3 linked regions of the Mus musculus genome follow. The protein of the gene in region 1 interacts with the protein of each later gene in a pairwise test. Links are inferred from orthologs where the notes say so. Each region holds a gene or a part of one and is shown in the gene's direction. Other genes may lie near its edges.

What was found. The genes of interacting proteins can lie anywhere in the genome.
Region 2: the proteins of Dazap2 (region 1) and Tent5b interact in binary tests that used the Homo sapiens proteins (3 or more experiments, as listed by UniProt). The two-hybrid records come from large-scale screens. The link is inferred for Mus musculus from reciprocal best matches to the Homo sapiens genes DAZAP2 and TENT5B.
Region 3: the proteins of Dazap2 (region 1) and Tollip interact in binary tests that used the Homo sapiens proteins (3 or more experiments, as listed by UniProt). The two-hybrid records come from large-scale screens. The link is inferred for Mus musculus from reciprocal best matches to the Homo sapiens genes DAZAP2 and TOLLIP.

The regions. Positions count from the first base shown.
Region 1 is NC_000081.6:100,614,214-100,618,528, forward strand, and holds the start of Dazap2 (DAZ-associated protein 2), read left to right. Parts: upstream 1-1,448; 5' UTR 1,449-1,498; coding exon 1,499-1,511; intron 1,512-1,836; exon of another isoform or gene 1,837-2,109; intron 2,110-2,699; coding exon 2,700-2,818; intron 2,819-3,711; coding exon 3,712-3,957; intron 3,958-4,315. UniProt on the Homo sapiens protein: In unstressed cells, promotes SIAH1-mediated polyubiquitination and degradation of the serine/threonine-protein kinase HIPK2, probably by acting as a loading factor that potentiates complex formation between HIPK2 and ubiquitin ligase SIAH1.
Region 2 is NC_000070.6:133,485,766-133,488,572, forward strand, and holds the end of Tent5b (terminal nucleotidyltransferase 5B), read left to right. Parts: intron 1-318; coding exon 319-1,338; 3' UTR 1,339-2,175; downstream 2,176-2,807. UniProt on the Homo sapiens protein: Catalyzes the transfer of one adenosine molecule from an ATP to an mRNA poly(A) tail bearing a 3'-OH terminal group in an ATP hydrolysis-dependent manner.
Region 3 is NC_000073.6:141,883,139-141,885,482, reverse strand, and holds part of Tollip (toll-interacting protein), read left to right. Parts: intron 1-901; coding exon 902-1,116; 3' UTR 1,117-2,344. UniProt on the Homo sapiens protein: Component of the signaling pathway of IL-1 and Toll-like receptors. Inhibits cell activation by microbial products. Recruits IRAK1 to the IL-1 receptor complex. Inhibits IRAK1 phosphorylation and kinase activity.

The DNA.
Region 1 (4,315 bases):
AACATCCTTTAGTTAGCGCAGCCTAGTTAGGGGATGCTCTGTGTGCTGACAGGAAACCAAAATGGAAATACTGACCCGGAACCTGGGAGGCCGAACACAAAACTCAAGTCTGTAACCTGTCCTTTAGATCAGTTTTTCTTTTCTTCTCGAATGTTTATTTTTATATGTGTGTCGGCGTGAACCCATGACACTCATGCGCAGGTCCCCAGGCTGAACTAGATCAGCCTCTCAGGCTGCTGTGCTTGCCGACTGGACGAAACTGCATTTACAGGACGCCACGCAAACTGTTAAATAGACACCTGACACACAAGCAAGGCCTTCGGTGTCGGACGAATCAGGAGTCCGTTCACCAAGGACCTCTCCCTCCAAAGCCTGCCCATCTACTTGACCACGCACAACACGAACTTCTGCAGACAGCTGCGGCGGTCGGTTCCTCTGTGCATCTATGAGAGCGCGTTCGGTTGCTCAGCAGATATTCTGGAACGAGGAAACGGGAAAAAATGTGATCACTGTCCTAAGAGACGTCGTCGCTACTCTTCTGGACAACTGAGCGCGGGCTAAACCACTCACAACATCTGTAGGGAGTTTTCAGGTCCCCGTAGGACGTGCCAGGCCAGGGTGCAGGTGCTGGCTGCGTCCCCTCAGCTTGTGCTGGGGCACGGTCTATCTCAGGACAGGGGGCGGGGCGCGGGGACACGGTCCATCTCCGAGCACGAAGCCAGGCGCTGGGCCCTCAACAAGAGGCCTGGAAGGACCAGAACGGCGGACAGGCTAAGGTCTGAGGTCTGGGCTGCGTCTCGCAGGCACTGTGGAGTCGTGACAGCCTGTGTTCACACCTGAATTTGGTGAGCAGAGGCGACTCACAGTGAGGAAGTCGCCCTGAGATGAGCTGACTCCGCTTTCTTTAGGGCGGGGCCGCGCAGAAAGGAGGAGCGCGCGGTGAGGGAGGGGTCGCGCAGGGAGGGCGGGGCCGCGCAGAAAGGAGGAGCCCGCGGTGAAGGCGGAGCGTTCAGGGAGGCGGGGCTAGCGGTGCGGTGAGGGCGGGGCCGCGCGGGAAGGAGTGGCTCGTGATAAGGGCGGGGCGCACGGTGAGAGCAAGGACCGCGGTGAGGGCGGGGCCGCGCAGAGAGAGCAAGGAACGCGGGGAGAGCGAGGAGGGCGGGGCCTCGCAGGGAGGGCGGGGCAATTAGTGAGGGCAAAGCGCGCGGTGAGGGCGAAGCCGCGCAGGGAGGGGCGGGGCCGAGCCCAGAGGAGGCGCGCGCCGTGAGGGCAGAGCGCGCGGGGAGGGCGGGGCTTCCGAGCAGAGCAGGGCCGCGAGCGCCCTCCTTGCCGCGACTGGCCGGCCTGCGAGGGGGCGGGGTTTCCGGCGGCGGCGCACTCGGGCATCTCCTGACGCAGAGTGGACGAACGTCACGTGACACGGAAGTGACTCCGAACAGGAAGAGGACGAGAAAAATAACCGTCCGCGACGCCGAGTGGGAGCGGACTCAGAGCCACCATGAACAGCAAAGGCAAGGCCGGGAAGTGGCGGGGGCCGTCGGGGAAGCGGGCGGGTTCGGGTCGAGCGGGCTGGGGGACGTCGGGCCTGGGGCGGTCTGTGCGGCTCTCTTCAGCGGGCCGCACAGCGCGGCCGCACCTGACGTGGCCGCCCCCCTCCACCCCCACAACGCAGCCGCTCGGCCCTCTGGGCCCCGACCCCATAAACCGTGTGGCGCAGTTTGGAGCCGCGGGCTCCTGTGTGTGGGGTGGGGGGGCTTTTCCGTGACGGACAGCGGCTGGAGCGAATGGCGAGCTAGAGCAGGGATTTGGGGAAGCCAATGGAGGGCGGGCGGAGGCGGGGCGCCGCGCCTCGGAACAACAGGCCTCGGCCGAGCTTAACTGCTGAGGTGCCGGCTCCGCTGCACGGCCCAGGCCCTCGAGGACCCGTTCTCGCCCGCCGGGGACTTCTGGCGCTTCCTCCTCGGGGCCCGGACTCGTAGCCGCCCCTGTGCGTTGCTAATGTTTGTGAGAACATGGTCGCGTTCCCCACCCCTCCACCCGCCGCCCTTCTCACGGTTAACTTCCAGTCACTCACTCTTTGGAGGTCGACCTTGACTAGGAACCCGTGAGGTAAACACTGAGAACCGTGGGTCCCACAGAGTCAGGACTGGTTACAGCACAGCCCGGGGGAGATCACCCAGAGGAGTCCCCTAAGACACCAGCAGTCCGGAGACCCCGGAACGGGTCCTCAGACCTGCCCTCTATTCGAAAGGGAACATGGCCAAGTTAGCCTCCATCAATCAGTATGCTAGTGGGAACGGCGCCTTCTGCCCAGTCAGAAGCCAGCACCTTCGGGCGCGAGGGTGCCGAGACCATCCTTATTTTCCTGGCTCTAAGAAATAAGGCAGCCTTATTTGCAGCTCTTCTGCTTGCTCCCCACCCTGTGCACCCTGGCCCGTCTAGTAGCTCTGCTTACAAACTTGTTTTTATTCAAAGTGTGCCTGCCTCTGCCTGTGTAAGTGTCTGTGAGTGTGAGTGTAGGTGCCCACCAAGGCAGAAGGTAGCGTTGAAAGGAGGTTGTGTCATATGTGGGTGCTGGGAATAGAACTGGGGTCCTCAGGAAGAGCAGCACTTTGTCTCACACACTGAGCATCTTTCCTGTTTGCCACCTCCCCTCCTAATCTGACAGACAACATCTCTCCTCCCCTTTTGTATTCCAGGTCAATATCCAACACAGCCTACCTACCCTGTGCAACCTCCTGGGAATCCAGTATATCCTCAGACCTTACATCTTCCTCAGGCTCCACCCTATACTGATGCTCCACCTGCATATTCAGAGGTACTGCAGTTTCCTAGACTTGTAGCTAGTTGAGAACACTCTTGGATCCCCTTGTTAAGTCTTCAAATCTGACTTCACAAGCAGAAGGATGCTCTGTGAATCATCTAGAACTTAAGGTGAAAATTACCATTGGAATTGAATGCAGTATCTGATTATGCTATTTGACACATGCTGACTTAAGCTGAGTTTGGGTCCCTTGAGCACAATAGTAGCTGTGGACGCAAATGACTCAGAATACTGTGTGCCAGTGACTATAACCAGTGTGTAATCTGCAAACACAAGAACTAGGAACAAGGGGCTAGAGAGATGGCTCAATGGTTAAGAGCACTGCTTTTCCAGAGGTCCTGAGTTCAAATCCCAGCAACCACATGGTGGCTCACAACCACTGGTAATGAGATCTGACACCCTCTTCTGGTGTGCCTGAAGACAGCTACAGTGTACTTACATATAATAAATAAATCTTAAAAAAAAAAAAAAAAAAAAAAACAACTAAGAATGGACTCATGAGCCATGCGTGGTGGTACAGGCGAGTAGTCTCAGCATTGAGAGGCTGAGTCAGGAGGAAGCTGAGTTCAAGGCTGCCAGTATAACCAAACCCCATTTCCAAAACCAAACAAGGGGCTGGGGATGTACCTGATTTGGTAGAATGCTTGCTTAGCATGCACCAAGCCCTAGATTTGGTCCCTAGCACAATGTGAACTGGGTTTGGTGGCACAGGCTTCTAATTCCATAGTCAAGAGGTAAAGCAGGAGAGTCAGGAGTTCAAGGTCATCCACTCCTACATACTTGAAGGCTAGCCTGAGCTACAGGAGATGGTCTCAATAATACTTAAAGAGATTCCAAATAGGAATGTCACAAAAATAATGTTTTGCTTTCTCTTCTGCTTCTTTCAGCTCTATCGTCCAAGCTTTGTTCATCCAGGGGCTGCCACAGTCCCCACCATGTCAGCTGCATTTCCTGGCGCCTCATTGTATCTGCCTATGGCCCAGTCTGTGGCTGTTGGGCCTCTAGGCTCCACAATCCCCATGGCTTATTATCCAGTTGGTCCCATCTATCCACCTGGCTCAGCAGTGTTGGTGGAAGGAGGGTATGATGCAGGTGCCAGATTTGGAGCTGGTGCCACTGCTGGCAACATTCCTGTGAGTATGCCTAACTGGGAGCTCAGCCCTTGTATACTTGAACAGTCTGAAATGACTTCATATTCATTCTCCAACCATAGTGGTCAGGGCTGGCACAGCTGCTGCCCTCTCAGAGCAGAAATGTGGCCGGGCCAATCAGGGCATTGGACACAGCCCTTGGTTTTAGAGTTAATCAGGTTGATTTGTTTTCTTGTCTTATTAAATTAGTGGCATCTTCCTTTGATCCTAGCACTTAGGGGCAGAGACAGGGGGATCTCCGAGTTTGAGGCCAGTCTGGTCTACAGAGCGAGTTCCAGGACAGCCAGGGCAACATAGAGAAACCCTGTCTATAAATTTAAAAAGACTGCTAGCTCCTTTT
Region 2 (2,807 bases), on another chromosome or scaffold:
GCTTCTATTTCCCAACCCGGGGATGCAGGACTAAACCTTGCCTCAGCGGGTTATTATGAAGATTAAGTGAGGCTGTACTTTAATGTAAAGTGCTTAGTAAGTTCTCTGCTCGCCTTTGTTATTTTTATTGCTCCTCTGAGTCAGTCCTTTCAACTGGGCCCTTCTCCAGATTGGCAAATCGAGGCTTAGCGAGTTAAAAGGGTTCACAGAGCCACAGAAGCTGGTCAGCAGTGATGGATGGTGGGATGATTAATCATGGCGGTTGTCAGTGCAGACCCGAGGGGTCCAGGCGCCTGACCCATTTCTCCTCCCCTGCAGGTGGTCCGCAGCAGCTTGGAAGAACACGGACTGCGTGTACACAGCGTGCGCCTGCATGGCTCAGCCGCCAGCCACGTGCTGCACCCCGAGAGCGGCCTAGGCTACAAGGACCTGGACTTGGTGTTCCAGATGGACCTGCGGAGTGAGGTGTCCTTCCAGCTCACCAAGGCAGTGGTCCTGGCTTGCCTGCTGGACTTCCTGCCAGCGGGAGTGAGCCGGGCCAAGATAACGCCGCTGACACTCAAGGAAGCCTACGTGCAGAAGCTGGTCAAAGTGTGCACCGACCTGGACCGCTGGAGCCTCATCTCTCTGTCCAACAAGAGCGGTAAGAACGTGGAACTCAAGTTCGTGGACTCTGTGAGACGCCAGTTCGAATTCAGCATCGACTCCTTCCAAATCATCTTGGACTCGCTGCTCCTCTTTGGCCAGTGCTCATCCACACCTATGTCGGAGGCCTTCCACCCTACGGTGACCGGGGAGAGCCTCTATGGGGACTTCGCTGAGGCCTTGGAGCACCTGCAGCACCGTGTCATCGCCACACGCAGCCCCGAGGAGATCCGAGGTGGTGGCCTCCTCAAGTACTGCCACCTCCTGGTACGGGGCTTCCGGCCAAGGCCCAGCACTGACGTTCGCGCCCTCCAGCGATACATGTGTTCCCGTTTCTTCATCGACTTTCCGGACCTGGTGGAACAGAGGCGCATTCTGGAGCGCTACCTGGAGGCCCACTTTGGCGGAGCGGAAGCAGCCCGCCGGTATGCTTGCCTTGTGACACTGCACCAGGTGGTCAACGAGAGCACAGTGTGTCTCATGAGCCACGAGCGCCGCCAGACCCTGGACCTTATTGCCATGCTCGCCCTCCAGGCACTGGCTGAACAGGGCCCTGCTGCCATGGCTGCCCTGGCCTGGCGACGTCCTGGTTCAGATGGGGTGGTCCCAGCCACTGTTAATTACTATGTGACCCCCATGCAGCCACTGCTGCCCCGAGCTCACTCCTATCCTACCTGGCTGCCTTGCAACTGACTCTGATCCTGGCCAGAAGGGAATGAGCGCCATGGGGTGGGGTGGGGTCATCAGGTATGTGTGGAGGATGTAAGCAGACACAGGCCACCTGTGCCAGCTGGCCCGGCACTATAGGGTTGGGCCTTTGAACAGACCAGACTTTCCTGCACAAGGCTCCTATGGGCTTAAAGCCAAGTCAGGGTTCTTGACAGAAGGACCCATTGGTCATCATACTGTACTCTTGGACCTGCGTGACTGTGGGACACAGAGGCTGCCTGTCTGGAAATGACAAAGTCAGCTTGTGTGGTAGCCTCAGTAGCAACACCTTGGGTTGATTTCAATGGCTTAGAAAGGGTCAGCCCACAGGGACCCAGATGCTCCTATAGTGGCCACAATGTGATATCATGTGACAGGGCTATTCAGTTGGGGTACGGTTGGGCCATTCACAGAGCCTGGGGATCCAACCTCGCTGATCACTAGGAAGAGATAAACTAAGGCATAAAGCAACTCCTTGGGGTTTGGGTGGGATGGGAGTTCAGTCTCCTGAAACCTCCTTGCCCTAAACCGTGAGGATTTCCTGAGGGCCGAGGTATACAGTGGTGCGACCCATACACATCCCAGTGCCTCACCCATCTCCTTTCCCTGTGCCTTCCAGGAGCCCTGCTGTCTGGGCACTATTGTTGGAGGCTGCTGGGTTCCAAAGCTGCCACAGTCGAGTTGACCACTCCCTCCCCCCACTTGCTTGGTAATAGGACTCTCACTTATCGGGAAGGCGGCAGATCCCATCCCCTTGCCACACCTCTGGATTTGTTGCTATTTTGCACTCTTCCCACCAATAAAAAATGTCTGCACTGACCATAACTGTATCTTTCTCCTGGGAAAAAGCTCTCTATGGCCTAAGGCTGGCACTACCTCCCCAGGCAGAGCTTGCTTGTATTGTGGGGGGCGCCAAGGAGTGGCGTTGGAGCGTCTCTACTGTCCCCCAGCTTGGCAAATATGAACTGGGAGCATGGCTGGTCTCCATGTTGCCTCAGAAGTCTAGACTTCTTGTTAAAGGGAATAAATATTCATCTCTCCTGATTCTGCCCCTGGAGTCCTAGAGGCCCAAAACCTGGCCTCTGGTGAGCAGGTCTGCCCATTCCATCGAATCCCCAGGAATTGAGCAGGGTGACTCTGAAATGAAAGCTGAGGCTGGAGGACCTGGAGGGTCCCCCTGAGCCTTGGTAGGGTCTCTCTAGCAAGCGGACGTGAGCGTGTTCTGGCTTATTGTAAACTGGTCCTGTGGAGAGGGCAGGATCTCTCTGAAGTCAGATGGGGCCAGCTAACTGGGCCCAGGAGTGCAGCTTTTGGAGATGTTCCCTCAGGCCACTGGCCACTCGCCTCTGGACGCTGCCCACTGTTTACCCTGCCTCTTTGATCTGGGGATTGCAAAGCCTTTAACATATCCAGCCTCATTAGTCTCCTCTGAAGTGGTGGCTTTGATGGGTCCA
Region 3 (2,344 bases), on another chromosome or scaffold:
AGACTGACGACAGCCTGTCTAGGTCAGTCAGGACAGAGACATGAAGGTGATGGCCTGGCCCAGAGGGTACTTAGGAAACCTGCCTCTGTTTCTCAATTTGTACCTCTTCATCTATCACAAGGTGCAGGGAGCCATGTAGCATCAGTGCTAAGCCCTTTGCCAGCAGCCTTTTTTGCTCTCATGGCAAAAGGATTAGCTCCCGTGCCCCACTGGGGGCCTTGGTACCTCAGGCTGCTGGAAAGTGATGTACTTTCTGATATGTATTGTCTTCATTGTGAAAGGCTAATATGCAGCTTTTCTTGAAGTTTTCAGGGAGTACTTTATGTAGCTATACCTTGCCATATGCATGACTATTGTAATGCCTTTGTTAGGCTGTGAAGGTGAATTCTAGAATCTTGACACAAGTGGACTTTGGAGTATTGGGTAAAACAAGCATACTAGTTTGTTGTCTGCATTCTCAGTAAAGACTCATGTCCGTGATGAGTCTCCTAAGTTCTTGAAGTAGCACATGTGGTTACCAAATTTTCATCTTGCTCCCTGTAATTTTTGACTAGATATATTCAACTTGAATTTTTGTTCAGAAAGAAAATACCTCAGGAGAGGGAGCCTCAGTAGTGAGGAGGATGGCCCATCCCATCTGTCATGGGCATCCCTGTGGGATCTGTTTTCCAGTCAGATTAAGGTAGCCTTTTCCCTTGAGGCCAGTGAGATGTATTATTTCTTCCTTTGGCACTGCAGCTTTGTGATCCCACTGTCTCTGTCCTGGAACTCACTCTGTAGACCAGGCTGGCCTTGAATTTAGAGACTCTCCTGTTGCCTTACAAGTACTGGGATTAAAGTCAGGCACCACAACACCTGGCTGAACCCACTCTTTTTAACCAACCTCAACTTTTGTTTTCAGGGATGCCTGCTGTCTGCAGCCCTGGCATGGTGCCGATGGCCATGCCCCCACCAGCTGTGGCTCCTCAGCCCCGCTGTAATGAAGAGGACCTCAAAGCTATCCAGGACATGTTTCCCAACATGGACAGGGAAGTAATCCGTTCTGTGCTTGAAGCCCAGAGAGGGAACAAAGATGCTGCCATCAATTCCTTGCTGCAAATGGGTGAAGAGTCCTAGACCCGCCTGTGGCCCTTGGCTTCACACCACTGACCCTTGGACTTGTCCACCCAGGGCTCCCCAGGGTCACCATCCCCACAAGATTCCAATGAAAGACCATCCACATACCCCTTCCTTGGACATCTGCGCCGCCCCTTCCTACATATTTCGGGGATGCATGTGGATTTTTGGTTCTAAGCAGGCAGTCCTCTTCATTGTTGCTGGGGGACAGAGTTAGGGGACAGTTCTCTCCTAGTCTCTAGCTGGGTGATGGTGGCATGGCCCTGTTATTGCACAGATCAGTGGTCCTGTTTGGGGACCTGCATCTCCTGTCCTCACCCTATTCTGGAAAGCATTCTTACAGAAAGCAACTGCCTCTGCCAAGATACTAGAAATTGTACAGCATCCTTCTGAGTTGATGGATGGATGGCATGGAGTTACTCAGTCCAGCTGGGATGGTTGTTGAGGGTGCACTGAGTTCATGTGCACTTACTTACAGGTTATTTTTAGAACTTTCAAGCTAAAAGCTCCTTCCCTCTTCTGATGTTGTATGTGAACATGGGCCCCTCAGCTAGTCCTGGCCAGTGAGATATGCTTCCCAGCCATATCCAGTGGGTCTCTAACCTCCTGTCTAGCTTATCTGCCACTGTCTGGCTAGGCTTCAGCCACAGAAATCCAACTTGAATACAGAAGGTATCCAGACCTGGTGCTTGGTTGGCCAGGCCCCACATTAGCCCTCACTGCTGGAGGCTGCTTTCCACATCCTCTTGTTTAGTACCAGCATCATGGGTCTTACTCCAGGGGCTGTTCTTGTTGATAGACCTTCATCACAGAGCCCAGAGTCAAGCGAAGGAGATGGGTGGGTGTGGCACTATGTGCTTACTACTAAAATTCAAGCATTGTGACACTACTGACCTGCAGTATACTCTGTGGACCCATACTGTAGCTTGGCTTGAGTGATAAAAATTCATGCTTAAATTAAACTTTCATAAAGGTAGAGGTGCCTGTACCTGACCAGTGGATATTGTATAGTGTATTTTAGGTTGCAAACCTTTGAGCCCGTGACCTGGCCATACATGTATTTAGGGAGAAATTGAGTGGTGCCTTGTGCTAAGATACAGACCGTGAAAGCTTTCTCAGAACCAGTACTGTCACAAGGTGCTGTTAGGAAGCTCCAGCATTGCCACAGGGTTATGGTGGGACAGTTTTGCCTTACATTGCCGTTACTTTTTGTTTTCTGAGAATCTGC